3 linked regions of the Canis lupus familiaris genome follow. The protein of the gene in region 2 purifies or fractionates together with the protein of the main gene of each other region. This does not show direct contact. Links are inferred from orthologs where the notes say so. Each region holds a gene or a part of one and is shown on either strand. Other genes may lie near its edges. The genes, in order: APEX2, CUL9 and RBX1.

The links.
Region 1: the proteins of CUL9 (region 2) and APEX2 purify together in Homo sapiens (affinity purification with mass spectrometry; 3 studies listed by BioGRID and IntAct, counting the BioPlex papers as one, with this or other methods). This does not show direct contact. The link is inferred for Canis lupus familiaris from reciprocal best matches to the Homo sapiens genes CUL9 and APEX2.
Region 3: the proteins of CUL9 (region 2) and RBX1 purify together in Homo sapiens (affinity purification with mass spectrometry; 5 studies listed by BioGRID and IntAct, with this or other methods). This does not show direct contact. The link is inferred for Canis lupus familiaris from reciprocal best matches to the Homo sapiens genes CUL9 and RBX1.

The regions. Positions count from the first base shown.
Region 1 is NC_049260.1:46,896,059-46,906,657, forward strand, and holds the start of APEX2 (DNA-(apurinic or apyrimidinic site) endonuclease 2), read left to right. Parts: upstream 1-4,211; coding exon 4,212-4,368; intron 4,369-5,345; coding exon 5,346-5,429; intron 5,430-5,800; exon of another isoform or gene 5,801-5,977; intron 5,978-8,283; coding exon 8,284-8,464; intron 8,465-9,013; coding exon 9,014-9,160; intron 9,161-9,900; coding exon 9,901-9,970; intron 9,971-10,599. UniProt on the Homo sapiens protein: Functions as a weak apurinic/apyrimidinic (AP) endodeoxyribonuclease in the DNA base excision repair (BER) pathway of DNA lesions induced by oxidative and alkylating agents.
Region 2 is NC_049233.1:11,867,601-11,877,518, reverse strand, and holds part of CUL9 (cullin-9), read right to left. Parts: coding exon 9,783-9,918; intron 9,289-9,782; coding exon 9,153-9,288; intron 9,003-9,152; coding exon 8,809-9,002; intron 8,542-8,808; coding exon 8,136-8,541; intron 7,727-8,135; coding exon 7,534-7,726; intron 4,913-7,533; coding exon 4,705-4,912; intron 2,855-4,704; coding exon 2,658-2,854; intron 2,309-2,657; coding exon 2,061-2,308; intron 1,373-2,060; coding exon 1,123-1,372; intron 1,035-1,122; coding exon 929-1,034; intron 388-928; coding exon 160-387; intron 1-159. UniProt on the Homo sapiens protein: Core component of a Cul9-RING ubiquitin-protein ligase complex composed of CUL9 and RBX1. The CUL9-RBX1 complex mediates ubiquitination and subsequent degradation of BIRC5 and is required to maintain microtubule dynamics and genome integrity.
Region 3 is NC_049231.1:25,233,457-25,244,018, forward strand, and holds the start of RBX1 (E3 ubiquitin-protein ligase RBX1), read right to left. Parts: upstream 5,392-10,562; 5' UTR 5,310-5,391; coding exon 5,232-5,309; intron 3,323-5,231; coding exon 3,244-3,322; intron 1-3,243. UniProt on the Homo sapiens protein: E3 ubiquitin ligase component of multiple cullin-RING-based E3 ubiquitin-protein ligase (CRLs) complexes which mediate the ubiquitination and subsequent proteasomal degradation of target proteins, including proteins involved in cell cycle progression, signal transduction, transcription and transcription-coupled nucleotide excision repair.

The sequences.
Region 1 (10,599 bases), on a different chromosome or scaffold from region 2:
TGAGCTGGTTACATGAACCCCCTTCTATGTTTACAGTTTTGTCCTCATGACTCTGCCAAGAGGCAGAAAGATAATTTTAGCAGCAGGAAATCTGAGATAGGAGGCTAGCAGGCTATTGGCAAGGTCTGAAAGGGTAAACCTAGGGTCCAGGCTTGAAAACCCAAGTTAAAATTGCCTGGAACTGGAACTAGCTAGCTGGTTTTTGTTGTTGTTGTCATATTTTTTTTTATCTTGCTTTTGTGGTGTATGTGTTGTTTGTCTGGGTTTTTTGTTTGTTTACCTGTTATCAATTTTGATCCTAGAAGCAGGAGAACTAAACAAGATTTATGGAAAGGTCTCAGGATGGCTGTTCTAAATCAAGCCCCAACCTACTTCTCTAAGCCATGTCTCTCTTTCTAAGCCCATGCTTAACTTGCGCTTGCTGATTCATGGAGTCCCCAAACATAACATATATATATTTTTTAAACCTTTGGGCTTTTGCTCCACCTGAAATGCCTTCTCTTTCCTTCCATTCTCAGTGAAATCTAACTCAATCTTCAAGAACTGGCTCAATGTTGCCTCCTCTGGGAAGCTTTCCCTGTAATCTGGGATAGGCATTATCTTTGGTTCTCATATTGTCTGTATGTTTCCATTTATCTGAGCAAGTATCCACTAGTTTTTACTGGTGTACTTCCCTACTAGACTATGAATTCCTTGAGGATGGGAACTAGACTTCAGTTACCTGCGATCAGTGTTTCCAGTATTCAGCTCAGGTTCTGGCAAGGAGGAAACACTTGCTCAATGAGTATCTCTCTGCCCTAGATGAGATGAACGTATAGACAATCACTATTCGGAAAAGTAAATGTCATAACTGAGATCTATACAGGGAACTGGGTGGGCAAACTAACTAGGTCTGAAAGTAGAAGGTGGTATCTAGAAAGATTTTTTAACCTTGAATGGGGCAGAATAGAATGAGCAAAAGAATGAAGTCCACCCCACCTGAAAAAGTCCAATCAACTGGTTGCAGAAAAAGAGTTCACTCAGTATCAGTGACTCACTCAAGACCAAGATCTGATTCTAAATTGGGTTAACTCTATGGAGAAAAGCACACAGTGTGACTTCCTGAGATTCACAGGTCCTGATCATCCTCCCAAAGTATAGGGTATGTGGGAGAATCCCACTAAAAGCACTATTAAACCCATACTGATGGGTTACAAAATCACAAATGGAGTATCTCTATTAGTAATTCTTAGGAGTATGTGGGTATAAATGCATTTGTAGGGGGTAAGGGTGTACAGGGGAGATTGGCCACATGCTTATAGTTTAGGTGCGGATGTGTATTAGGCTTTCTGTGGCAACCACCTAGGTACCACTTAATTCTTAGTCACTGTTCTGGCCCACTATCCCCCCACCACATTCAGCCTCACACCTGGAGCCCAAGGATTACTGTATCCCAGTCCCAGGAGTGGCTCTCTACAGACCATAGTCACTCAGAGAGAAGAGCAGCTGGAGGCCTGTGGGTGGTATTGCCTGTGGAGGCTACAGAAAAAAGCAGGATCACTAATCTCAGACAGAGCATGGAAGTTCTGAAACATCTCCAGAAATTTGGTTCTTCTTCTCCTACTCCTCTTCACCTTGAGATAGCCCTCTGAAGGACGTAGGCCAGGGATTTCAATTTCCATTTTAGTAAGAAGGTTATTGAAGCTCTGAGAAGGTTGAAAAGCTTGTTCAAAGTGCCACAGAAAACAAGACCTACTGTATATACTATTGGGGGAGGTAAGATATATAATCCCTACTATCCAGTTCACTCAAAACTGGAATAGACCAAGAGAGACTTCTAAAGGTGCTAGAGAACTGCCCTTTTGGTTAGTGTCCCACAAAGACAGGTGGCGATGGATGACAGAGAGATATAGATATCATCTTTTCCCCAACTCTTTCATACCCTTTAATGCTCACTTCAAGTAACCCCTATACAAAGAAAACTTTCCAGAAACCTAAAGAATGGATTTGGAATTGTGTATCCCTATCTATTTTTCCTTCTGTCTCACCTACCTGTTCTCCTAGAGGTTTTCTCTTCCATCACTAATTATCCGACACACAGCTTTCTTGCATTTAGACCTTCAAAGCAGGTACCTGGGTGGCGTTAAAGAGGGAGTCTCGAGGCGTTGGTTGGTTCCTTGAAAACACTGTGGAAGTACCCTTAATAAGAGGGGCATGTGTGTGCTCTGTTGAAATATCAGCTGTGTTAGTTGTCAAAGAAGTTCCTGAGCCACCGGAGCCTTTTCTCTTCAGGCCAACCATGTGTTCACCTTGCCCCAAAGGTCAGAACTAATATTAACAAGCAACTGCAGAATGGGGAAATTAAAACCAGCAATGTAGACAGGCAAGATCTGGATTTCCTAGGGGCTGAGTTTCAGATTGGTCTTTAGTGTAAATGGGCATGATCTCTTACTGGACAGTGATTTGGCAATATGAAGCAAGAGCAATAAAAATGTTAATTTCCTTTGTCCTAGTTATCCCTCTCCTGGGACTCAATCCTGAGCCAATAACCACCAAAGCATGAAAAAGCTCAAAGCACCAAAATTCTTATTTTAATTGCAGAGCTATTTATCCTGATGGCAACAACTGGAAGGTAACCTTTAAGTCCTCTAGGAGGAAAAGCAGCTATTTGGGCCTTTTCTGCAGACATTGAGGATGATGGTTCTAATAAGGTTATGGTATTCTGGGGGGAAAATTATGCTGCAGCTTAGGGTGAGGAACCTAAGAATGTGAAGTCATGCTTTTCCTTGGACATTGGGCATGTCTATCATTTCTATTTTTGTGTTCTCAAAAACAAGTCACTAATCTGTTGCTTTTGCATTTGCTCCGTGTTTGTTTATTCAATTAGGAAATATTTATTGACTCCTAAATATGCTGTGCCCTAGATTAGAGGATGGGGCTAACAAGATGAATCAGACATGGTCTTTGCTCTCAAGTTGCTGGCAGTTGTGTGACAAAAACAGCAATCAATGGTAGCTCTGCATTGCGATAAGTGCTGTGACAGAATGGACCACAGGGTGCTGTGAGGGCCCAGAGAAAAGACCTAACTGGGGAAGTGTGTGGGTGTTAAGGAAAAACTTATCCAAGAAAGTATTCCTTGAGCTGATTAAGATAGGCTTTGAATCCTGGCTCTACCACTTCTGTGAGACTGGGGTGAACTCACTCATTCTGTCATACTTAGCCTTAATACCCCTTATGGGGTTATCCAGAGAATCAAACAAATAATGCATGTGGAAGAGCCATGGGGTACATTGGGAGACAGTGCTGCTCTGGATCTTGGGTAGCCCACTTCAATTCCCTGGGCTCGACTTTACTTATCTGAGAAATGGAGCCAGGAAAAAGTATGTGTTGGGGACTTAAGAATGTTATAAAGCCCAAGACAAATAATGGCTAGAGGGTGGGCTTGAGACAGGTTCCTCTCTTCCCCTTCCCTTATAAATCTAATTACACTAGCATTTCTTTTTTTTTTAAGATTTTATTTATTTATTCATGAGTGACACACACACACACAGAGGCAGAGACACAGGCAGAGGGAGATGCGGGCTCCATGCAGGGAGCCCAACGTCGGACTCGATCTCGTGTCTCCAGGATCACGCCCTGGGGCTGAAGGCGGCGCTAAACCGCTGAGCCACCCGGACTCCCCATGCTCTAGAGCATTTCTTATTGCTCCCTCTAGCGGCGCGGTTCCCTTCGAGCCTCCCTTCCTCCACCCAAGCACAGTTACAGCAGTAACCCAGGACGACAGAGGCGCACTTGGAGGTAAGGTCAGTCTCACTGGGAGCGGGGCTTCGGTTACCGCGCGGTTTCGTTCTGCTGCTTAAAAGGTGGCGAAATCCCATCTGTAAGTAATTGGAAGCACCAAGGGGACTTTAGAGCTGCTCGGAAACGCAGTCAGACTGCGGTGTGCGGACGGAGTGCTGAAGGAGGAGAAGGAGCCTAACTGGAGGACTTCCTCTTGCCATTCATTCATCCTAGGCATTTGCACCACCCCATCAACTTCCGCTCCTCCCGCCAAATGAGAACTGAGAGGCTCGAAGCCCCGCCTCACTTTCGCCGACATTTTTCGTGGCGCGCAGGAAAACGCTTGGGCCAATGCGCGCGGAAGGCGGGATCTGGTTGGGCCGGGGGCGCCTAGTTGTCCTGTGTCCCCTACATTGGGCGCGTACTGTGAGGCTTTGCAGTTGGCCGTCAAGATGTTGCGTGTGGTGAGCTGGAACATCAATGGGATCAGGAGCCCCCTGCAAGGGATGGTATATGAGGAGCCCAGCAACTGTGCCGCCATGGCCATGGGGCGCATTTTGGACAAGCTGGATGCCGACATCGTCTGCCTTCAGGAGACCAAAGTGACCAGTGAGCGCTCAAAAATCCAAGATCCCTACCATACTTTACCATTTCCACTAAATTTTTCCCCAACTTAATCTCATTTTACTTTACTATTTCTCTATCCGTAGAGTCCTCCTCTTAGACCTAGTTCAGAATCCTGACCCCTTTCTCTTAAACCCCTTTTTCTCACTCCAGTCTGATGTCTTAATTCCTACTTCTCCTGTCCTCAGCACAATCTTAATTCCCTCATCCGTGCAACCTTCCTCCTCGTACAGACCCTCTACATCCCACTCATTCTCCTGCCCCAGCTCAGTACCCCAAATTTCTTCCTCATACATTATCCAGCTCCAGCTCCCAAGTTAAATCCTCCAATTCCCCTCCCCCGCCCCCAGCTCATATCCTTTAATTTCCACCCCATTTTTGTTCCCAGCTCAGACTTCCTAATTTCTTCCCTTTTACCGCTCCCTCTCTCAATCCTCAGTTTTCCCCTCAGATCCCTTAGAGCTCCCCATTTCTCCTTTCCAGCCTCAGAACCTCTTATTTCTATCTCATGTCCTATGCCAAGGTTAGATTCCCTATTTCCCTCTCTCACACCAGAGCTCAACACTCCCCCCCCCATTCCTTCCTGCTCCCTTGCACTGGACCCTGAGACCCACTAACAACTTTTTCCTCCATCCCCAGTTCAGATCCTCTAATTGCTTCTCTCTCCAACCTCATATCCCCAGCTCAGATTCCCAGTTCCCTCTCTCATATTTCCATTTCGCACCTCCAGCTCCCTCCATTCACCTAATCACTAGCTTCCTCCCACCTAATTCTCCTCTCATTCTATAGCTTTCTTATTCTGATATCAATTCCCTCTCTAGTTTCTACCTTTCTAACTCCTCCTCTAATCTTACTCTGGCTCTGATGTGTGCAAGGAATTGCCCTACAATGTTAATTCCAGACCTTTGTTTCCTAGGCTCTACTTTTATCTCTGACACAATCTTACATCTGTTTTTTTGCAGGAGACGTGCTCACAGAGCCACTGGCTATCATTGAGGGCTATAATTCCTATTTCAGCTTCAGCCGCAACCGCAGTGGCTATTCTGGTAAATGGGGCTTTCTGGGAATGTTAAATTAGTGATGGAGGCAGGTCGGGGGGTGAAAAAGTTTCCAATATTTGATGAGAAAATAATAAGAAACTCAGTCTTTTAAAAGCTACTTTTAATACTTTGGAGTGAGCCCCACAGGAATAAAAAACTCTGGGAAGGGGGTAACCCCCTCACCCACAGGATGGCCTAGGGGAAGAGAGGCTAAGGGAAGGAAAAAAAGCACAGGAGGGATCCGCTGCGGAAACAGGACAAAAATGAATGCTAATGGTGCTGGGACCTATGAGCACTACAGGAGAAAATGAGAGCATGGTGGGACTGGCTCCAGGCACACAGGGGAGACCAAGAGGGTTGGACATGTAGCCACAGAGCTACTTGGGTTCCTCCTTCTCATTTGCCTTTTTTTGCTTTTCCTGAATGGTCTCTGAGGCCCTCTGTTTGCAGGTGGCAGCAGAAAGCCCATTATCTCAGTACTTTCCCTTAACCTAGTAGCTCTGCTTTTTCATATTCTTCTGGTGGATGCGCTACCTCTGGTTACCCTGGGTCATGGTGAGGGCAGCAGATCTGGCCTACCTCCCTTGCATCCCCTCATTCTGTCCCATGTTGTAGGCGCCACAGGCTTTTAGTCCACAGAGCTAAAGTCACATAAAGTTACATGAAGGATGGTTTTTTTTTTTTTTTTTTTTAATTTTTTTTTTTTTTAAATTTTTTTTATTTATTTATGATAGTCACAGAGAGAGAGAGAGAGAGAGAGAGAGGCAGAGACATAGGCCGAGGGAGAAGCAGGCTCCATGCACCGGGAGCCTGATGTGGGATTCGATCCCGGGTCTCCAGGATCGCGCCCTGGGCCAAAGGCAGGCGCCAAACCGCTGCGCCACCCAGGGATCCCGAAGGATGGTTTTTATGTGTAAAATTACCCTATTTGACTTTGGAAGCACAGTCATGTGGTGGTTTATTGTATGAACTTAGGACTGCCAGGGTTTGAGTCCTACCTCACTTCCTAGCTGTGTATCCTCTGACAAGTTACTTAACCTCTTTGTGCTTCAGGTTTCTCAGCTGAGAAATGGAAATAATGCCTATGTCCTAGGGCTACTACAGGCATACCTTGTTTTGTATATATACATAATATATATATATGTATATATACATTTATAAATAAACATATATAAGTAAATACAAGATAAGCAACAAATATATGAATTTACATATCTATATATTTTCATATATACATACATATATAAAGCACTTCACTATATTGTGTTTTTTTGAAGTTCGATTTATTTTTTAAAAAATATAATTAACATACAGTAGTATATTAATTTCAAGTGTATAATATAAAGATTCAATAATTCTATATATTTCTCAGTGTGCATCAAGAGAAGTATATTCTTAATCCTCTTTATCTGTTTCACCCATCCCCCCTACCCACCTCCCCTCTATACTTAAGAGTCTAAGTACCACTTTTTTTTCATTTTTTTTAATTGGAGTTCAATTTGCCAACATATAGCATAACACCCAGTGCTCATCCTGCCAAGTGCCCTCCTCAATGCCTGTCACCCAGTCACCCCAACCCCCTGCCCACCTCCCTTTCCACTACCCCTTGTTAGTTTCCCAGAGTTAGGTGTCTCTCATGTTTTGTCACCCTCACTGATATTTTCACTCATTTCCTCACTTTATTGTGTTTTGAAGATACTACATATTTTATAAATTGAAGGTTTTTTAAGATTTTATTTATTTATTCATGACAGACACACAGAGAGAGGCAAAGACACAGGCAGAGGGAGAAGCAGGCTCCATGCAGGGAGCCCGATGTGGGACTCGATCCCGGGTCTCCTGGCTCACACCCCAGGCTGAAGGCGGTGCTAAACCGCTGGGCCACCGGGGCTGCCCTAAATTGAAGGTTTTATGGCAACCCTGTATTGCAAGTCTGGCACCATTTTTCTAGCAACATTTGCTTACTTCATGTCTCTTTTTCACATTTTGGTTAATTCTTAAATATTTCAAACTTTTTTTATTATGTGTAATTTTTTTATTATTTTTTAAAGATACATACTTTATTTTTTTAAAGATTTTCTTTATTTATTTGAGAGAGAGAGAGTGAGTGAGAGAGAGAGAGAGCATGAGCTGGGAGAGGAGCAGAGGGAGTGGGAGAAATAGGCCCCCACTGAGCCGGAGCCCCCTGTGGGGCTGCATGTGGGGCTTGATCCTGGTACTCTGGGATCATGACCTGAGCCGAAAGCAGACACCCAACTGACTAAGCCACCCAGGTGCCCCTTAATAATATTTGTTGTATGGTGATCTGTGATCAGTGCTTGCAACTTGCTAAAAGCTCAGATAGACAGCATTTTTTAGCAGTATTTTTTAATTAAGGAATATACATTGTTTTTTTTTTAGACATAATGTTAGCACACATTTAATAGACTATAATATTGTAACCATATAACTCTTATGTGTACTGGGAAACCAAAAAATTCATTGGACTTTATTGCAATATTTGCTTTATTGTGGTAGTCTGTAACTGAACTTGCAATATATTGTGGTGTTCCTGTACAAAGATTAAACAAATTAGTCTGTGATAATAATAATGGCTAATAATTTTTGAACACTTACCATGTATCCATATAAAACATTTAGACCATTAGCTATTATTGTTCTGTGGCTTTTTTAGATGAAGGAACTGAGACTCTCAAAATTGCCTCAGGCTTTCAGGAGCCATCCATGGCCCTTGAGTTGGGAGAGTTGTCAGTATAACCACATTAGATGAAGTTGACTCAGGTGACCCATTTGGGGGCAACAAGCAATACGATAGGCTGTTGACTTCTAGGACCTCTCAGAGTATCCTGTCTATCTCCAGGTGTAGCTACCTTCTGTAAGGACAGCGCTACTCCCATGGCTGCTGAAGAAGGCCTGAGTGGCCTACTTGCCACTCATAATGGGGACGTGGGTTGCTATGGAAACATGGATGAATTCACCCAAGAGGAGCTTCGGGCTTTGGATAGTGAGGGCCGGGCCCTCCTGACACAGCATAAGATCCGGTAATAGCCCACATCCCTTTGCACTGAGCACTGCTGGTTCTACTCTTAGTGTAGTGACTCTGAGGCTTACCTTGTATACTTATATTCATCATGGAAAACATCCCAGATTTGCCTTTCTTGGACTACAGTTCTGACTGGGCTACTCATTATGTGACCTTGGGCAAATCATATTCGCCTCTGGGCTTTGAGTTTCCTATCTCTAGAGTGGGGAACTGGCTGGGAGGTATAGCTCCCTTATTACCACAGGCACCTCAAAGGCAACTTAGCAACTCATCGCCCCAAGTTGCTCTCTTTCTGAGTATCCTGTCATTGTGAATGGCAGCACCGTCACCTGGTTTACCTGGGTGTTATCCTAGATGCCCCTCTCCCTGTTTTACCTGTAGTCTGTCCCCAAGTCCTGTGCATGCCGGCATGTTCATGTATTTCTGTCCCCTTCACATCCATCCCACAGGCAACCATTAAGTGGAAGCCACACGATGTGGAGAGGGGAGATTTGGAAATGACCTTTTCTTGTGTGTGTGTGTGTGTGGGGGGGTCTCTTCTCCCCAGGACATGGGAAGGGAAGCAGAAGACCTTGACCCTAATCAACGTGTACTGCCCCCATGCGGATGCTGGGAAACCTGAGCGGCTGACCTTTAAAATGCGCTTCTATCGCTTGCTGCAGATCCGAGCAGAAGCCCTCCTGGCAGCTGGCAGGTATTGTAAACCTAAGTGGTACTTGAGGTTCTAGGTTCCCAGCCCATTTAGGTATCAAGCTCCATTGAACGGGATGTGGGATCTTTGTCTTTTGAGTTCCTTTACAGCCTACTTGGAGACACCAGCATACCTCCCAGAATGGGCTCTGCTCTCTATGAGCTGTGAGGATCAGGTAAAGTGGTACAAATATGGGTTTTGTACTTAGATACCTTTAAGCACCTATCCTGGCCCTTTTATTCACTATGAGTCCTGAGGCTAGTTCTGCTTTTATTTTCTCAAGTGAGTATATGAATCCCTACCTCACAGGATAGTTTTAAGGATGAAATGAGATAAAGAAGGTAAAGTGTCTAGGAGCAAATGAAAAGTCTTGTCCCAAGAAAGGACAGGAAAGTGAGGGTGGGTTAGAGTAATCAAGGGATGCTTCCTAAAAGAAGTGGTACCTGAGCTCAACTTTTAAGGACCAGAAAGATGCCATTAGGTAGAGATCAGTGAGATAATCATGTCAGGGAATGATCTCATCTCTGGAGATCAGAATTGGGTTGGTCAGGCATAAAAGGTAGCAAGGTTATGGTAAGATTGGAGAGGTAGCCTGCTATGCATTGCTGTGGACTCCTACCTTGGACTCCCTGTGTGAAAAGGTGCCTTTCTGAGCTCTTGGGCCCAGAAGAAAGTAGATGGGCCAGGACTATTGGTTCCCTGTCTTGAATGTCTAGTTGATAATCTCATGTCATGTTTTTTAGCCACGTGATCATTCTGGGTGACCTGAATACAGCCCACTGCCCCATTGACCACTGGGATGCAGTCAACCTGGTAAGGCTCTTCAAGGCCCCGTTCCTCACTTCTGACCATGGTTCTGTTTAGGCAGCCAGCCAAAGCTGGATTTGGGGCTCAAGAGTAGCTTCCTTCATGGAAAAGGAGAGCTTAGTTTGAAATACAATTCTCAAAGCACTGAGGATTGTTGGATTGTTCATTCATTCAGGAGACATTATTGATCTTGTCCTTGGCATTGTCCTGAGCTATGTCCTGAGGACTCAGTTGCCAGTCAGTTCTGGCTCTTGGCCCCTCAGAGGTTTAAGCATAGTGGGGGATATGACCAGCCATTTACAAAAAGATGTCTTCAGGGCTGAGATGGTAGGCCAGGAGTCTAGAGGAGCCTGGAAAAATGAAATCCCTGGGCTAGTCTGGACATTAGGAGGCATCTGAAAATGGTCAAATATTAAAAACAGTTTTAGGGGTAGGGGAAGCAAAGCATTCTAGCTTGAGCAAAGGCTACAAGGTGAGAATTTGCCTGGTATGCATGGTGAACTGCAAGTCCCATTCTTGTTAGAGGTTGACATGGGAAGGGGGGTTAGAGGCAGGAGATGGGGCTGGAGGGTCCTTTGGGGACCAGATTTCAAGGTCCTTGAACTCCATATTATCTTGATCATTTCCCTCATACA
Region 2 (9,918 bases):
AGAACAGGACCATGTGGGGTAAAGACTGGGGAAACAAGTGCCCCAGATTTGCTACCATTTGTGCCAAATAGGGTTACCAAAGGAGGACCCACAATGAATCCTCTTCCCCTGCTTCTGGTTTATGTTCTCCCTCAGCTCTGGACCCACACACCTCCTCACCTGAATGCAGCCAGCCAGGATGCTGGACGTGAGGTTACTGTAGAGTTGGGCATGTTTTTCACACTCTGTCACCAGGTCCCGAAGCTCACAGGCCAGCAGCAGCTGAGCCGAGTGCTTGTCTAGGACTTTGGAGAGGGCCTCTTTGGCTCCCAGGCAGCAGAGAACCACAGCATAGTCCTTATGCATTGAGGCCAGGCGATGCAGAAAGTAGAGCAGCTCCTGAACAATCTGAGCCCAGAGCCACAGAGATTAACATATGGGAAACAAAAGGCAGGCCACATAAGGGATGAGGGGTGGGTTTAGAAAAAAGAATGTGGCAGATGAGTTTTCGGAGAAGCCTGAAAGCCCAGGAAAAGGAGAGTACCAAAGGTTGGGATAGAGCAGTAGGGTGTTGGGACTCCAGAGCCGGCAGAGCCTAGGCACAGCTCCCAATGCTTCTTCCTGCCAGGGCGAAGCTCTCAAGAGCCTGCCTTGGTGCCTGAGCCTTGGTCTAAAACACATAAACCCGAAAAGGTAGAGAGTGAGGAATGTTTAGATCGGTGAATGTGGGCTTCTCCCAAACTCAGAATCTAAAATGCAGCTGCAGCCAACAAATTTATACTTCCAAGGCCCCAGTTCTCAGGACTCTGATATGTCATTCCTTCCTAATTACCCCTCTGCCTTCAGACCCACCCAAAAAGGTTGCGCTTTGCCTTCCAGAGCCTTACAAGGTAGCTGATGCCCCCAGAAGCTGCCATTCCCTCCCCTGCACTTGCCAGGGCTCTGGTACCTCAGAGTCACTGCTAGGGCCACTGAGACAGTTGAGGCAGGGCTCCAAGACCTCGTGCCAGGGGAGGACCATCGCCTCGGGGTGATCCAGCAGCCGGGTCATGACCCTGGTTGGGGGATGGAGACAAGCAAAATCCCTGCAGTCTGCCAGCTCCCCTGGCCTCTGATACATGGGTGCCCCAACAGGCCCCTCACCTCAGTGCAGTCAGCAGCAGAGTTTTGTTGGGCCCTGGGGCGTCCAGAGTCCTCAGCAGCAGGAGGAAGGGCTGGGTCTCCTGCTGGAGGCGCTTGAGGAGGGGCCTCATGGCACCGCTGGGGCCGCCCTCATGGCACAGCACTCGTTCCAAGCCCAGGAGGAGCTCTGCAGACGGGCCCCCCGCCAGGGATCGGATCAGGCGCTCAGGGGACCCATCCTGGCCTGGGGCACCAGGGGTTTCCAGTGCTGCTGCCCGGACACATGGGAGGAAAAAAATGAGTATGAAGAGGAGTCATGCAAGTTGGTCAAACTGAAAACTGGGCAGGTCCAGAAAATCACCCCCCAATTTTCCTCCTGTTGGGAGGATGTCTGTAGTTTGCACCAAACTGTGGGGGATTTTCTTCTCTGGCCCCAAATGCATAGTTAGCTGCGTCTGGAAATAAAGTTTAGTATGGCAAACACTATTAGGTTAAACACACACATTTTTAATCTCATATAGTCATACAATTACCTGTTATTATTAAGTGGTAGTTCTGCTGTTACATAAGCCAATAAATATAAGCTATTATAATTATACCTCCCTACTACCTAGCATGGTGGCTTTAAAGATTTTATTTTAAAGTAATCTCTACATCCACCATGGGGCTGGAACTTACAACCCCAAAATCAAGAGTCATAGGCTCTACTGATTGCACTAACCAGATACCCCATATACTGGCCTTAGATACATAATTTTCCTTACCTATCCTAGAGTCTCCTTCTCCTCTTCGTCAGAAAGTTCTACTTAAGACCTAACTTGAGTGCCAAAACCCTTACTCCTTTCCTAGAGGTTCATTGTATCTTTCCAGTAAGGTACTAGTATATAAGCCTTAGCCCTCCTGGCCACAGGCTGGCACTACCTGATTCCTCAGAAGAACCACGCCATCCACAATGGTACCTGTGTGCTCAGGACTGCCTGGTGGTTCTGAGTAGCGATTGAGAAGCATCATGAGTATGGAGCGTGTGGTAGGCATGGGTTCTGTCCCCGGTGCTATCCCAGAGTGCCTGAATAAGGTATCTCTCAGCTCTCGGGTTATAATCTGGTCCCCCAGAGTGTGGTGGTTGCACAGAAGCAGATTGAGCAGGAGCAGACCATTTCTCACGGCGGAGGAGCACCTGTGAGGAAGGTGGTAACCCGGGAAGAAACTGAAAGAGAGTGAATGCAATGGAAGCAGAGAGCAAGTCTAGAAAGGAGGAGGGCTGCAGCTAGGGAGGAAAGGGCTCCAGGGCTCCTTCTGAGGCCAGGACACCCAGCTCCCTGACCTCAGGTCACTTCCCCCAACCCCAGGAAGGAAGGTCAGGGTGTCCCTGCTCTCCCTGGGGAACTCCCTACCCCCAGTCACTCAGCCTCTCTACTAACAACAGTCAGAGAGGGCCACCAATTTTTCATCCAAAGATAACAACATAAGGGAAATTTCTGTGAAGCAGATGAGATGTGGGCAGAGCAGTAGTGGGGCTTGGGGCTTAGCGGGAGTTTGGAGGGTGATGCGCTAACCCCTCTGTGTTCAGCATCAGGATCACGGCCGCAGGGACAGTAAGGAGCAGGCTCTCAGAGCCTGGGCGGGTGGCTGAGTCAATGCTGGCGAAGATCTCTCTGGTCATCTGGGCATCAAACAAAGGGTGGATAGGATCTCGGCCAGTAACAAAAGTGGGGATCTCCGAGGAGCTGGCAATGGCCAGCATCTTCAGTGCCTGCAATGGGGATGTGGAAGCAGAGTTAGTGGTGGGCAGAGCCACCCTGCAGAAAAAGAGGAGAGCCAGGTCCTCACTCTCAACTCCAAACTTTGGGGCAGCTGAGCTGTTTGCAAGTAGGTCAAGTAGGAGATGAAAATGAAGGAGGTCATGATGGGATATCAAATGCTACAAACAAAAAGAGAGAGAAGCAAAGAAAGCATAGAAAAAAATGAGGCTCAATGATAAAATCAGCCTGCCACTTCGCTCTGCCAGCAACGAGGCTGAGTGGCTGAGTGGTGTGACTGTCCCCTCCCGCAGCTTCCTCTCAGGATTAGGACCTTTCCACAGCATCTAGTTGTCTTCCAAGGCTTTCCTTAACACTGTCTTCCATCTCACTTGACCACCCCCGCTTTGCAAAACCTCTCTTCTCTTGAGTTCCAGGACTTCATATTGTCCTGGTCGGCCTGCCTCTCTGGAATTCCTCTGCCTAATCCTTGAACATGGAAGTTCCTGCCCCCTTTTCACTCTGCACTCCCTGCTTAGGCAACCTCACCTACTCCCACGGCTTCAATCACCACTGATATGCCGACACTGCAAACCTATGTCCCTGAGCCTCCAAAGCCAGTAGCCAACCTTCCTCAATAAGACTACTTGGGTTGTCTCACAGAAAGAGGGGCTGGAATTACAGGAAAAAATTCTTGGAATTTCTGAACTTGTTCGCTGGTACTATATAGAAAATTAAATGAAGATAAACGCTATACCATTAGAGTGGAGGCTCTCTTCCCTGGGGAAAGGGTTAACACTTGAGAAGAAACCTGCTAGGGATAGAGATTAGAACTAATTCTCAGGACACTCTCCCTTATAAGGCCTGAATCCTCCATGCATATGCTACCTTTATAATGAGGCTTTATCCCTTCGGTTACCCTCCTCTCCCCAATTAGCTGGATTCTGTAAGCCTGAGGTTATAAACAAGATGATGCAATTCTGCTACGGGGCAAGTGTTTGAATTTAGGGGCCAGTGCTGTATTTTGATCATGTGATCTGGAAGGGTCAGTACGGAATTCTCTGAGCAAACATGGCCTAGACACAAATGCTTGGCTGCTCTTCAGAGGAGCAGCACCTAGCTGGCCCTGCACAGGAAAGAGCCTCCCAACCTCGCTCTGGAACAGCCTGCTCTAAGAGGACCTGTGCTCCTGTCCATGCTGTTGCCATTATACTCCTGGAATCCATTCTCAGAACTAATTCAGATGAAGCCTACCTGTTCCCCTCAGGGACCCTAGGCTAGACAGAACACACCCTGCCCACACCTCCTACCAGCCAGCACTTGTATCTGGAGTAGTCAGGAAGCCAATTCTGTGAGCTCCCTTGAACGAGGGCCCCCCTTCTCCATCCTCTAGGCCCAGGGTGGCAAGGCACCCACATCTGGCAAGGGAGTATTTTCTATGTAAGGGTATCACTCAGATCAAAGGGTAAAAAATTACTTTGTCACATGCAGAAAATTAGTCTCTAGCCAAACACTTACAGGTACCTAAAAAGACATGGGAAATTCGACAAAACTAAAAGCACAACTCCAGATCTTCTCCCCATAGCTTTCCTCCCGCTACATTCCCCCACTAAGTAAATGGCCTATGCATCCCCTCTGTTGCTCCATTTTAAATCTGGGAGTCGTTCTTAAAAATATCCTAGTCCCTTTGTCCAAACACGCACTCAATCTCCAAGACTGTCCAGCTGACACCCTTAACCCACCTGTATCTTTCCATCCCAAGCCTCCTCCCTGGTCTAAGTCACCACAGCACCTCCCCAAGGTCAGCAGTGCCCAGCCTGCCCTCTTGCCCATCGTCCTCTCCCGCCAGGCCCAGTCCACTCACCGCCAGCCCCGCCTGCTGCACCAAGACGGAGGTTTTATATTCTTGCATGCAAACCAGTACGGCGTAGATGCCACCCTCTCTGGCAAAGAGTGGGCGCCACTCGTGCTTGGTCATCAGCAGGTAGAGGAGGCGCAGAGCCAGTACCACCAGCATCTTCTCTCCCACCTGGTTGGTCAGCAGCTCCACCAGTGTCTTCACTAGCTTCTCTCTTAGAGAGAAGAGACATGGCCGTTTCCCATCCCCAAAGTCACACCTGACTCCCTGCCCAACCCCTTCCACCAAGATCACCCCACGCTCCCCAACCTGCACTCCTCACCTTAGGCTCACCCCTCATCCCCTTTCCTTTGCCAGCTAACTGCCTCTGGCTCCTCACTGTACCAAGGAGACCGTAGGGCAAAAACGGTCACAGACTCTGGCTCACCCTTTCAAATAAGTCTATTTGTAATTCTTATCACAATGCCTAAAAGGTCTTTTTTACAAAACACAGGACAGGCAGCTTCAGTCAGAGGATGAGAAAACACGCAAGAATGGCTAAGAAATGTTTAGAAAGAAACAAGGGTAGAAAAAAAAAAAAGAAACAAGGGTAGACTCGTATGCTAGCTATCAAAATATAAACTCGAGAAAATTAAAACTCTACTAAAGACACAGGGTAGATACAGATCGCTAGATAAGGGTAACATCCCAGCCAGTAAGAACAGCAAGGGCCATGCGACCCGTGAGGTGGAGACAGCAGAAACAGTTACAGCTGCAGCAATGCCTCAGGCCCATCAGCATAAGGAAACTGCAAACAGATTTTAAAATATTTACAAAATACAGGGAAATTTTTTTATAATCTTGGAAAAGGACAGAGCCACCCAAAACCTAGAAGCCATTAAAAGTTTTAAAATAGGGACGCCTGGGTGGCTCAGTGGTTTAGCTCCTGCCTTTGGCCCAGGGTGTGACCCTGGAGTCCTGGGATCGAGTCCCACATCGGGCTCCCTGCATGGAGCCTGCTTCTCCCTCTGCCTGTGTCTCTGCCTCTCTCTCTGTGTCTCTCATGAGTAAATAAATAAATAAAATCTTTTTTTAAAAAAGTTTTAAAATATTCTAATTTAAAATTCTAAAACTTTAGCAGAGTGAAAGACACTGTCCATAAAGTTAAGAGATAAGCAATTGTGAGGAAGGGAAAGAGTCCTATGAACTGCTGATCTGAAGAGAAGAAAGAAGTGCTCCAGAGTCCCCTAGATCACCCTGAACATCACAAGAAGGAAAACAGTGAAATTATCTTTCTCCATAGTGAGAGATACATATTGAGGAGGTAGCCTGGGAAAATTCTGTCTGTCTTTTCTCATGAGCTTTATGATGACAACAACATGAATCAAATGTGCCTCAAATATAAATCCCCTTCTGTAGCCAGGATTTATTATAAACAAGTTAATACCACATGAGCCATATATATGAATGGATATAGAAATATAAGTAAGAAAGTTTACCAAAATGTGAACAGTGACTCTTTCTCCAAAGGTTTTTCAGATAATTTTTATCTTCATAATTTTCTAACTTTTTTTACAGGACGCATATATTATTTTATGTTCAGAAAAGTTAATACGATTTTGAAAAAAAAAAAGCAAAATATATGAAACACTAGCAACAGATTAATATCCAGATTGCCTACAAATCAGTAAGAAAAAAAACAAAGACCCAGTAGGAAAATGGGCAAAGGATAAGAACAGATTATTTGTACAAGAAGAAACACAACAAATGCATGCAAATATGCTTCACTAGAAAAGAAATTAAAACAAAGATATCAATCATTTAAAATTCTGCCAATCTGATAGATTTTTTTAAAAAATGGTAATATCCAGTGTTGGCAGACGTGAGGAAAACAGATCCAATAGAACACTGTACTTGAACTTGGAGATAATCCTATTGCAGAGTCCTACGCAGTGGTGAAAGTAATGAGGCAGCTCTATGTGGATGGGCGTGGAGAGCCCTCTCAGACATACTGAGTGTGGGGGGAAAATTGTAGAAACATGTAGCGTGATTACACAGATGTAAACACAAACTCAGAAGATATTCCATTTCCAAACACACTAACAAATGTACATCTACGGAAGGTCTGAAAAATCCACAGCAGACTGGCAACAGGCAAAAAAAGGGATTCTGTACTATGTTCTTTTACATTCTTCAGATCTTTTAAAATGGAGTGCATTTGTGTATTATTTGTAAAATTAAGAAGCAGTTTTAAAAATCTTTGAAAATAGAAAATAGGAAGGGAGAAAAAGTAAAATAATTCAGAGGTACCAGCTGGCTCAGTTGGAAGAGCATGTGACTCTTGATCTCGGGGTCGTGAGTTCAAGCCCCACGTTCGGTGTAGAGATATTTAAATAAATAAAACTTTAAAAAGGAAGGAAGGAAGGGAAGGAAGGAACAAATGAAGGAAGGAAAAAGAAAATAAAAGAACTCATGGAGCAGGGTCAGAACTCAAGCTGTAGAGCCAAAAGGAGCTCGGTTTGAATCCTGGCTCTGCTGTCAAACTCCATGAGTTAAATTTTCTAAAGTTCAGTTTCCTCACCCAAACAATGGCATAAGCATAGCATCAACTCTTCCTCAGGAAGGAAGACAGAGAGAAGAATGTGTGTAGAACCTGAAGCACAGAGCCTGGCACAGAGTAAGTCCTCCGAGTATATTAGAATAGTCCATTATCCTGCTTGGTTGCTCCTCAGGTTGACCTTTCTTTCACCCCCAGCCTTTCAACTTCCTGCTATAGTTCCTTCCCTCCTTCCCACCATCCTCCCCCAATGGCAGCTTAAGCCCAAACCCCTTTCCCTTCCCACCATGCTAACTAACCTCAGGGATCTGTCAGGACGGACCAGAGGGTGGTCCCGTTCAGTGACTTCTTCCACAGCCTGAGAGAGGGCATAGAGCCCCAAAAGCTGCACATTTGTGTCCAAGCTGGATATCTGCACGGTGGCCACAACTGCTGCCACATGCTGATCCAGGGAGCTGCGTGGACCAGGGCCCCGCAAGCCTCTAGCCATTTCTGAAATTGGTGAGGGAAAGGTAATGGCTTAGGAAAAATTGAGGCTCCTCCAACTCGGAAGTCTTTAAAGGTCAAGCCCAGTTATCCAACTGATATTTTAATACATTATTCATTACTGAAGTTTGCATTCCGAGCTTTTCTAATTCTGTGTGAGGGATCTAATAGCCAAACACTGAAGATGAAGATATTCTGGAAAACAGACCCTCCTTTTCCTGGGATACTGAAGGGAGCAGTGATTGGTTGGATACACCCAAGGTCAAAGGAAGGAAGATGGATGCATGCTTCCAGAGTATTTTCCCATGCAACAGCAACCTTAGTCCACAGCTCTGCTCTACCCTAACTACTTCTGTGGGGACTGGCCAGGACTTGTTCCAACTTCTTTGCCCTCTCCTCCCAGCACGTGACTCACCACTGGCCGCCTCCTTCATCTCAGGGGGGAGAGCCATTCCCTCAGTCACCAGAAGCTGGTTAAATAGCTGTGAATCACTCTGTGCCATGGGGGGCTCAATTTTTCCCTTGGCAGGTTCTGCATCTGCCTTCAGGGGCTCAGCTTTTGCTTTGGGAGACTCAGTCTCTTCTTCTGAGAAGTTGGCCTCTGATTTGGACTGCTCCTCTGGATCTGGAGTACAGGAGTGACTTCGTGAAGAAGATGAGATGCTTAGTTCATCAGGCAGCAGCCCATACTTGGTGTAGATTTGGGAGTTGAGCAGGTCACTGAGGGTGCTACCCTCAAACCGACTGCTGAGCACCTGCAGCAGACCCTCAGCCATCTCTATGGGCACGGAGAGATCACCCAGGGCCTTGTCACCCAGGGTCTGTCAACAGAAAAGGGTATGCATTTCAGGGACAAGTAGACTTGAAGGTCCTGGGGACAAAAATAGGGAGGGTTGCTGCCTCCTGCCATGCCTTGCAAACTTCTACATACCAGACCTCACAGCATTTATCTCCTTTCCGAGCAGGCCCCCTCATACTCTCTAACTTCTAGCTCCAGCCTCCCCCTAAGCACCTCCTTATCTTGAACTCCTTTAGAGAATCCTGCCTCCAAACCCACTATAAACCCAAATATCTCAGGCCTATGATACCTCATCTAGGTTCTCTCGAAGATTCTGGAAAATTGGCTGCTGCTCACATATGTCCAGCTTCTTGATGAAAAAGAGCAACTCCCACCACTCAGCCTGGGTCAGGTATCCCAACTGCTCATTCTTCTGAGGTTCGGGCTGGAGGTACGGCAAAGAGTAGAGCCCATCCACAGGTTTCCAGTCCCAGGAGGGAAGGGCTGAGGACACAGGAACAGCGGTGTTATCATTTCACAGGAACAGAGTGCATTTCTGAATCTCTAGGGCAGCTCTTGATCAGGAGTGGCTTTGCCCCAGGCCTACTCCTCTGTTCAGAGACATGCTGTGTCCATGTGCCCTTCAAGGCTCACCTGTGTCCAGCAGGGGAGCCCCTGCCCCCTTCTCCACAGCCACTGAAGCCGCATCCTCAGCAGCTTCCTCTGGGCCCAGGATCTCCAGCATGTGCCAGTGTACCCAGTAGGTGCGGCCCGTTGACTGCCAGAAGACCTAGTGTGGAGGGAGGAAGAAAATGAGAATAGGGTTCTGAGCCCTGGGTGGTGTGGCTTGAGAGGACAAGGCTGGGCCTGGAGCTGGGCCCCATAGCCCTCAGATGCACACCCGGCTAAGTTGGGGAAAGCCTCTGTATAGCAAAAGGCTACCTTTCCCTATGGGGTTGGCCTTGCCACTCATCTCCTCCTAACCCTGATGGTCTCTGCTCTGACACTTCCTCCTAGCCAACTAAATGGGTGGGGGTGCAGAGTGTCTCCATGTATCAGCTCTGCTTCCTGGACGTGAGTCTCTGCTTGGCCTCACAGCCCATCCAATTTTCTCAGCCTTCCCAATTTTCCCAAGCCCTTCTCAACTGCTGACCCCCTTTCACCATTCCAATCCCCACGGGTCTTTTTTTCCATGGGTGGCCTACCAGAGCCCCTGGCATGGAAGCCCCAGTTATGCTCCCCCAGCTAGAGCCCCGACAGCATCTCACACGTGCCCTGGCTCACCTGCACGGGGGGCACGCCGTTGTTGCTCTGACGGAACTCGCCCTCATCCCCAGCGCTGACCTCCTCGTAGTCATCCAGCATGCGCACTCGCATCCCAGCCTGCAGCGTCTCTCGCACGTACTCACCATAGCCACAG
Region 3 (10,562 bases), on a different chromosome or scaffold from region 2:
CGGCACTAAACCACTGAGCTACCTGGGCTGCCCAGATTTCACTTTAAAAGAGGGATATGGACCTATGGTTTAGGAAGAGGCTAATTTCTCACGGGCAAAGGCTGGGTCTAAGCCCTTCTGGATGCCCTTTTCATTTGGAACAAGATTATCTGAGGTAATGGAGAAAACCTAGAAATATTGTGCATTTCAGCAACTCTTTAGAACAACAAAGAAATGGGGCAATGTACAATAAATACAAAGCTAGACTAGGGCATGTAGTATCAATTTTGACTCAAAACAGGAAGTCTTCAGACCAAACATTCTCAATTGGGCACAACCATAATCACTCTTATTTATTTATAGCTATGTATATAATTATTCACTTAATGCCAGGCCAGAATTTATTAGAAAATGGCCATTGCTAAATCAAGATTCTTATTTTCAGCTTTAACAAAAAGTCTTTTTATAAGAATCAGAATCCATTTATTTTTTTTTTTTTATAAATTTTTTTAAAATTTTTATTTATTTATGATAGTCACAGAGAGAGAGAGAGGCAGAGACACAGGCAGAGGGAGAAGCAGGCTCCATGCACCGGGAGCCCGATGTGGGATTCGATCCCGGGTCTCCAGGATCGCGCCCTGGGCCAAAGGCAGGCGCCAAACCGCTGCGCCACCCAGGGATCCCAGAATCCATTTATTTTTTTAAAGGAAGACAAACCCAGTTGTGGCAACCAGACTTCTCTTTAGTGTCTGTAATAAACAAAAGGTTATGTTTCTTAAAGTAAAAACTTGATCTCAGTCATTGTTTTATCCTGGTGCCTAGCAAAATGCCCAGGATGTGAGTATTCATTGCATGAATAAAAGACAGGACTCTTAATTATAAAAAACAGACTCTTAATTATAGAGAACAATCTGATGGCTACCAGACGGGTGGTGGGTAGGGGGATGGGTTAAATAGGTGATGGAGATTAAGGAGTACACTTGTCATGATGAGCACCGGGTGATATATGGAAACGTTGAGTTACTATATTGTACACCTGAAACTAATATTATGGTGTATGTTAACTGGAATTAAAACCTTAAGAAATAAAAATAATAAACTGTTTTATCAATTAAAACTAAATAAATGAATGACTTGAAAATGCTTTTATAATTTCTTGTTGTAAAAGTTCAATATTCTGGGGTGTCTGGCTGGCTCAGTCAGCAGAGTATCAGACCCTCAGGCTCAGGGTTGTGGGTTCAAGCCCTACGTTGGGGCCTACTTAAAGAAAAAAAAGAGTTCAATTATTCTACTTCACCTAACATTTAAAATATATGATAAAACAGACAGGAGTCTAACTGAAGACCTACATTGATCCCTCAAGAGTTCAACTCTAAGAGAGAGTATCAATAGCCTTTATCTGTGGTGCTCCTCCCAAAAAGCACATTCTCTTGCATCCAGAGAGACACAAAATAACTTAAATATAGAAGCAGGAAAAAAAACCCAAGCAGGGTTATTTGAAATCATTAACTATTTACAGAAGAGAGACCAAGAAAATAAAATTTGCTTTGGGCACAACTCCTTACGAAAATGTAAAGCAACAAAATTGGCAAGCATGTAATCAAAGACCCCACCCAAACACATTTAAAACTGTGCATGTGTTTTTCTGTGATGGGTTTCTTCTATCTATATTAAACATCATGGTAGCTGCTGTCTGCTTTGACTGTTGTGTGAAAAGGTAAACAGGGTCAAAACTCAAAGAAACAAAGGGCAATAAACTATCAATACATGATATTTGATTGGGGCTTTCCAAGTTGCAATGATCACAGACTATTCTTCTATTTTGTATTTTAATTATTCACTGACAAGTATTTAGCAAGAACCTATTATGTACTAGACACTATGCTGGGAGTAGAGCAGTTAAAAACATAGATATGATTGAGAACCAACTAAATTAAATACTACCAAGGAAAGTATAGACGGTCTTGGGAATATTTAATGGAACCATCATAGTCTGTGCGTATTTAAGTATGGCCAGGGAACACGTCTCTGAGCTAGTTCAAGGTGAGATCTAAAGATCAACTACGGATTAGTTCCACATCGTCCAATAAAGTAACCACTAGCCACATGTGGCTGTGAGCACTTGAAATGTGGCTAGTCTGAACTGAGATGCGCTTTAAGTGTAAGTACACTTCAAATAGTACCAAAAACAGAATGTAAAATAGTTCACTTTAAAATATTTACATGTTGAAATGAAATTTTCTTGGATATAGTAGGATAAATAAAATAGAAATCATCTGTTTCTTTTTATTTTGATGTGGGTACCAGAAAAATTTAAATTATGTATGTACTTGCATTTGTGGCTCATATTTAGATTGGACAGTAGTGGGTCAGGCAAAGGTAGTGGGGAGAAGGGGAATATTCCAGGCAAAGGGAACAGGGCATATTAAAGGCTCTAAAAAAGAGCACGGACACTTCGAGAATGGAAAGAAAGCCAAAGAAACTACCAGAGTGAGCAGGAGAGTGGTGCAAGATGAAGCTGGAGAGGCAGGTGAGTAATTTTCAAAGTAAGTGCCTGTAAATGCAACTCTACAAAGCTGAAATTTCTTCATCTCATATCTGATCTCTGTAACAAACCATTTCAGTACCTGGAAGAAAAAGTAACCTCAGCTGTTCCTGGTGTGATCAACATACTTGCCCCTATTACTATAAGGACACGGAGTCCACGGATAGCTATAATCAAACCCACCATATACTGGCTACTATATGGGATGGAATCTGTAGATTTAAATGAAACTTCTTTACTGCAATTAGTTGTCTATTTAGATGCTGGCACCGATGTCCTCTTAACTTAGGGGCTAACACTGAAATTCCTTACTTCTTTGGCTTCTTTTCTTTATAAATCTTGCCAAGCAAAAACTAGCTTTGGTAGAATATTTTAGCTCAAAGTTTATTTTTTTTTTTTCCTTTCACTATTTTTGCCTTTGAGTCTGGGTATGAGATGGGAAATATAGAGGAATAATCAACAGTGCCTCTGTGTCCACAACTCATTCTAAATGTGTGCTTGCCATCTTTAGACTGAGTAGATTTATTCTGAGAGATGAGTATGTCTCCAGGATATCATTAAATCTACTCTATTTCAAACATACCAACGGACTAGAGGCAGAAGACACCAAGTGTTCTGACTATGCTTTATATCTCCTTGGGAAGAAATTTGGTCACATCAGAATAGCCACAATCTCTGTAACCTTCTCAACTTCCTCCCATCCACCTCCAGTTACTTACAAAGATCCATAATGTGGTTCCTGCAGATGGCACAGTTATCAACCACAATATCCCAGGCCCAGAGAGCTACTGCATTCCACTGCAAAGAGAAAAAGGGGGAACAATGCACTCTCCTTGTAACACAGGCGTACACACACTCTAGGATTTCATGCTGCAGCTACAGTTATCATCTCTTTGGCCACAAGGACCACCAGACACAGGAGCTTGGGGATATTACCTTACTCTTATTCATTTTATCAGAGGGCAACAGCAGACTACAAGTGTGCTCACCCATTTTCCAAAAGGCTGAGTATATGAACATAAATTAATGAATCCTCTTTATTTTCTCCTACAGCTTACAATAATTTAGTCAACTGTATCAATGTAAGAAAACCGGGAATAATTTTTGAGAGCCTGTTTTAGGCTTAATAAGCACAAATTTGAATTTCTGCAAAGGTAAATATACGCTCTTCAAGGCAGCTGTGAAGGTATGAGTGGGGAGGTGAAAGCTGGGGACAGAATGAACTAAGATGATGATTGGATCATAAAATGGGTAATCGTGGGATAAGCTGGATAACTAATTATCCAGTGTCAGTACAGAGCAAGGTCATCACTTAAATCTCACAAGATTATTTCACAACAAATTCTAGAATTCACTAAAATTTTGGTTAGTTCCTTCCATCAAATAAACTGGTGTTCTAAACTTTTACAAGCTCAGGCTCCTATTTAGTTCAGATAATTCCACTTAAGAGTTCATTTAAAAGCGGTATTTAAGTAATTCAACCTTTCTGGCTTCTGCAATTATAAATATCCCCAAACTCCCTTTTCATCCACCAATTTGGTGCCACTTCCAAAACCTTCATCTCTTTCGAACGCAATTCCCCGTCTAGTTAAACTTCTTTAGCACTTTCCGACAGCTTCAACTTGAACGGGGGAAAAAAAAAAAAAAACACAACAAAACCCTATTTCTATTCTTCAATATGGCTGCTGGCTGTAACTGAGCATGCAGTGCCCACAATGAAACACCAAAAAAGCACTAGGAGGGGGGAATATTGTCAGTGTTTAGCCAGATGTTCCAGGAATAACATTTCCCCTATTTGAGTCTTCATTTTGAACAGATTTATTTTATATCATGTGAGAATCGGCACTTTCCTCCCAAACTGTTGGCAAACCACTATAAAGCAGTTCATGCAAAAAGACACGTTCCACATTTTTGCTTTCCCACAGTCACCAGGTCGTTCGCCACTAGTACTCAACCCTTCCTAAATGACACAAGGTTTGGGCTCGCATTTTCTTTTTAACAAATTCCACCATGCTTTCCCCCCCCCCCCCCCCTTTTCCTTTTTGGACAGAGGGATTCTGGAAACGAGCACAGGACTGTGGAGGCTGTGTGACAAACCAACAGACCTCTCAGAAGAGCCAAGAGTTGTTACACTGGAGACACTTTAACTCGGCGGGGGCGAGGACTAGAGAGAGGGCTGAGGGAGGCCTCGAGGAGGCGAGGACCAGGCTGGGGTCCCTCAGAGTCAGAGGGACCCCGAGCTTCGGGAAGGGGCGGGGCAAGGAGATCACCAGCCGGGCTCCTCAAAGGCCTCCACTGCGGTAGGAACTCAGGTCCCGGCTTTCGCCGCACTGCCCCCATCCTCCACCCACCGCAGCGCTCCGACTCCCCCTTCCATCCACCCCACCCACTCCTCCCCACCCCTCCACCACTCCAGTGACAGCTCAGGCGCTTGGCTCCCTCAGCCAAGTCTCAACCCCGCGCATCTCAACAAGCGCCTCTGTGATTGGCCCCTCAGACTCCTAGTGAAACCAATACTGCCATTGGTAGTGGGCCCCAGTCACGCCGATCAACTCTAAGACCCGCCCCCCAGCTTCCTTTCCTGGTACCCGGTCCCAGGAACGCCCTGAAATGAAGCCCTTTCCTCCGCGCCTCGGTCATCCTCGGGCCTGCCAGCCAGATCCGCGCCTCTCTAGCCTCTCTGAGGAAGGCGCTGGCGAGACCCAACCTTTTTCACTTCAAAGCGCTTCTTGCCCGCGCCGCTGTTGGTGCCGCTCGGGGTATCCACATCCATCGCTGCCGCCATTTTGGAAACACACGGTCCGTCGTCCGGCCACTGCGCCTGCGCACCAGCGCACGCCTCGCTCCCCCTCCCGGCCCGGCACCTCCTCTCGCACCCCGCCCCTTACTGGCGCGCGAGGGGCAGGTGGGGGCGGAGCACGTGGCCACGCCTCTTAAAGGCGCTGGCGCAGGTCCCTCCCTCCTCCTTCCTGCCGCCGGCCCCCGAGTCGGCTGGGGAAGAGGCGGTGGCCGGGGCGGGGCCGGGCGGGGCCGAGCCGACGTGCTCGAACCGGGTGGAAACGCTCGAAAGACTAGTCTCCTCCCGCGGGAAGCCCCCGGCCGCGCTCCCTCGGCTGGGGCGGCGGCTGCTTCCTCCGCCTCGGCCGCGACCTGCCGCCCCGGCCCCGCCCCGCCTTCCCCGCTGCCGCACCGCTCCAGCGCCGGCGGGTCTTCCGCAGCGTTCCGCCCGGGGAGCGGCCAGGGCGGGCGCCCCGCCTCCTGCAGCCGAAACCGGAGACCCCGCAGTGTCGCGGGTCTCGGCTCGCTTCCGAGCCAGGCCCGACGTGCAGCCTCGCTGGGAAAGCCGGGCCCAGGCGCCGTTAGGTCCCTGATTCCGATTCGGGAAATGCTCGGGATTCGACAGGGAGCCGGGAGCTCCCCGAATGTCCTCTCCAGGGCCCAGCCGCGTAGGCATTCTCCCGTCCTGCCTCAACCTGCCCACCTGGAGCCTCGGGGATGCCGCCGCCCGCCCGCCCCAAACGCCATCCGTGCTAGAATGCCCTTTGGTTAAGGCGCAGGGTTTCAGTTTCACATACTCTTAACACACCTTTCCTGTTCCTCAGTTGGCCACCTAACTGTGGGGGTCCCCTCTCCCTGATCTCCATCCTCTTCCCGCTCCTTGCGCCGTGGGCACACTGCAGTCCTACTTGACTTTGTGTGAGGCGTTTGGCCATTGATTCTTACTGGTCGTTCCCAGCCAAAGCACCTGTACTTCATGTCTGCACCCGGAACCCCTTGTGGCTCTCTAACCCTGCAGAGGTATGACTCGGCTAGATCACTCCTAAATCTCGTATTGGCTTATTTGGAATCTCGTATTTTCTCTTGAAAGAAAATTGGAGCATAATGGAGTGTATGGACTCCACTGCCAAACCGGAAGAACTGCGATTTGTTTCCTTGCCTTAGTCATAAACAGGAACAACAAATCCATGAAAACACCACCAGGGCTTACACCAGACTTGGAAAGAGAAAAATTGTGTGAGACCTTAAAACGTTACAGGAACCCTACAAAGTTTTCCTTAGCCCAAATTTTGTTAGAGTGATAATTCCATGTTAAGATTCTTGTCATCTAATTGATTGTGTTCCCAAAGGCCCCTACGGGATACTAAAAACCCATAGTAAGTTAACGTATTAAGTGTATATTTAACCTTCATTAAACAAATTCATTGAGTATGTATGAGATCGTGTTATAAATTGGAGAGACACGGTGATGAACAAATTCCTGGTAGAGAAATAATACACAAGTAAGCAAATACATTGGGGAGGAAAAAAAACCATCCTCAGGTATCAATAAGTGCTATTAAGAAGACAAAAAGATATCATGAAATTGAAGGGAGAATTGTGTGTGATTAGGTAAGGTCTCTATGAGGAGTGACATTGCAGCTGAAGTCCTTACAAGGGCCTAAAAGATCCTGCATGATCTGTTACCCATTCATTTAATACATTGTCTTCATTTTTAGGAAATGGTACACATAATCTAACATGGTTTTTATTTACTTATTTATCAGGTTTATTGTCTTTTGTGTGTCCTCACCAAGAGGGGATTTTGTTGTTGTTGTTTTGTTTATTGGTAACAATACAGTGCCTTGTACAGGGCAGGGCTCAGCATGTGTTGAATGAACAAAGTTGAAGCTTATGGAGCAAGGAGATTGTGGTAAGAGGTGTCAGACAGACAGGCAGAGGCCAGATCAGGTAGGGATCTACAGATATTATGGGAAGGTGTTGGAGGGTTTAAACTAGGGGAAGGGACTAACAGTGACAAAAAAAAATTTTTTTTAAGTTTTTAAGCTTTGCGAGGAAGGGATTATAGGGATACAGGAGAGGAAGCAGCAACATTTGGCAAGTTGATGGCTTTGTATAGAGCTACAGTGGGGAGAAGTATGATCTTAGGGGCTGTTCCATTAAGCTATGAAAACCTCATGTACTGATCTCTCCTTTGGAGATTTGCCTTGGCGTGGTGATTGTCCATGATGTTCAGTACCCTGGACTCTACTGCATAAACCTAAGAAAACTTTTTGTAGATTTCATACAGATTCCCATCTTTCTTCATAATTTCACTCAGCTTACAATGTAATAGGTTGTAATTTTACTCTCATCCATCCACTCATTCAAATATTTCTAAAATATCTATAGAACCTGCTGTGTCAGGGATGCCTAGGTGGCTCAGTGGTTGAGCGTCTGCCTTCAGCTCAAGTTATGATCCTGGGGTTCTGGGATCGAGTCCCACATCAGGTTCCCCAGAGGGAGACTGCTTCTCCCTCTGCCTATGTCTCTGCCTCTCTCTCTGTGTGTCTCTCATGAATAAATAAATAAAATCTTAAAAAAAAAAAAAGAACCTGCTATGTCAATACCCCATGCTAATCTAGGTAAAAAGGCAATTGCTTTTAAAAGTATTTGCAAAAGGCCCCTTTCATCATTGCTCTTATGGTATACTAGCAGAGAGGCAAGTCAATTATTGATCATTCCAATGAATTTTAGGAAAAGGGAAGTTTGGGGTACTGTGAAACAGAAAGTGGGTCTGTGTGGGGGGGTGGGTAGTGAGGAAGTCTTCTTAGAGGAAAAGGTTTGAGATTGAAGCATAAGCTGGACAAAAAGCAGCAGATGCAGAAGGATGCTGGTAAATGCTTAAAAACCAGCTCTAAAAAAAACAACCAAACAAACAAGAAAGCTCTGATTTGTAGTGTGAACAGCCAGATTGCAAAATTCCTGAAAATTGCTCTTGTAAGCACTTGTAAGCTGATGTACCCTGGCTCCATCACACACACGCTGAGTGATATGGAAGAAAATGGCATTCCAGGTAGAACAGTGTGCAAAAGGGACTCAAAGCTGGAGAATGCACAATGCATCCGTAAAGAAGTCTGGAATGGCTGGAATATAAAGAGAGAGTGATATAAATAAGTCTGCAATGATGAGCAAGAGTCAATTGTTTGCATCTCTTTTCAGTTCTATATTTGACAATGTTATATTGGTAGCTTGGAATTAGCTATAATAGTAGTATTTACACCATGGAAATTGGCAAACACAGCATATCAGAGCTTTCCACTCCCCAATTTATTTATTAAATATTTACCACTGGTAGGGGCCAGGTCATGCTGAGTGGTTCAATGGACCCATGCAAAGGGTTCTGGTATTTACCTTTAGTGATGGGAAGCCTTTGAAGGATTTTAACCAGTGACTCACATGGTCAGATGTGCACTTTTAAAAAGTGCTAGAACATGGCCTAAAAGTACAGGAACTGGATCCCAAAGATTACAGGTGGAGAATTTTTGAAGTATGTTCATATCCATATGGAGATGAAAGAAGCACAACTGAAAGAACTCTGTACTAACAGTGACAATTGTGGATTGAACAGAAGTTCTTTTTTAAAGGGGTATTTTGAATATTATGATTCTGATTTTGGAGGAACTGTAGTGATTAGCAGTGGAAGGAATCATGTAAAATTCCTTAAATGAAAATATAATGACTTAAAAATTTTTTTAAAAAGTGTTAGGGCTTCGATGAAGTAGACATACCTTTCCCTATCCTTCTCTTTTAAGTACCACTGAAATCCCTGAACAAGTTATATTAAAAAAAAAAAAAAAAGACTCTGAGAGATGAAGAGGCAGATAAGTTAGAGACCTCAGGTTTTGAGGAGTGACATGGTAGTGAGTTTCCTGAGTGTTCTTTTTTACTTCATATGTCTCAGACTTGGAGCTGAAGAAGCTGGTAGCCAGAAATGCCAAAGAGTGCAGACAAAAAAGGGAAGAAATAAATAGAAAAGAAAGAAAAGAAGCTGCTTTCTTTTTTTTCTTAAAGATTTTATTTATTTATTCATGAGACACACACACGGAGAGCGAGAGAGAGAGAGAGAGGCAGAGACCCAGGCAGAGGGAGAAGCAGGCTCCATGCAGGGAGCTTGATGCGGGACTCAATCCTGGGACCCCAGGATCACGCCCTGGGCCAAAGGCAGGTGCTAAACTGCTGAGCCACCCAGTGATCCCAATATGCTGCTTTCTTTAGCAAACAGAAAACTTCAGATGGTAACTACTCTACTCGAAATAACACAGAAAAAATGTGGTGCCACTTGCACCCATGCCAGCAAAGCTGAATGGGGAGCCTAGTCTGTACAGCTTGCAAGTCTTTAACCAGGTGCCCCAACACCCATGCTACTGTGGTGCAGGCCAATTAAGGAATTAGAGTTCTCATCCCTTCTGGCTGATAACGAACTCTCTTAACCCTGCTGTGTAAGAGGGGATCATACTGAGGTCTGGACATCCACTCCAACCCAGCAGTAATGAGGCAACCCTTCTCCCTGATGGGGTGGTGATGGAGTCTAGTGGAGAGTGAGGACTTTCACCATCAGCAATAATGAGGATGCCCCCACTGCAGTGTCAGTGGAGACCATGTAGGGAGCTGGAACTCCTACCCCCACCATTGGGTGTTAATGGAAACTAAGTGGGGAACCTGGACTTTTACCTCCATACTCCCCTGCTGCCATGATGTCAAAAAAAAAGCCAATTAAACTAGAAGGTTTAAATAAAATCTAGAGTCTCATATTATAAAGATGTCCAGTTTCAGTTTCAGATAAGTTGAAACATCACTCAACTTATCAAGAACCGCAAAATCTCAAAGTGAATGAAAAGACTATCAATAGATGCCAGCACCAAGATGACAGGGTTGTTAGAATTATCTGACAAAGACTTAAAACCAGCAATGATAAACACTTTTCAGCAAGCAGTTACACAAACACTTGAAACAAGTGGGAAAATAGACTTAACCAAAAAAATAGAGATAAAAGACCCAAATGGAAATTTTATTTATTTTTTATTTTTTAAAAAATATTTTATTTTTTTATTCACGGCAGACACAGAGAGAAAGAGAGAGGCACAGGCACAGGCAGAGGGAGAAGCAGGTTCCATGCAGGGAGCCCGACATGGGACTCAATCCCGGGTCTCCAGTATCATGCCTTGACCCAAAGGCAGGCACTTAACCCCTGAGCCACCCAGGTGTCCCAACCATTGTT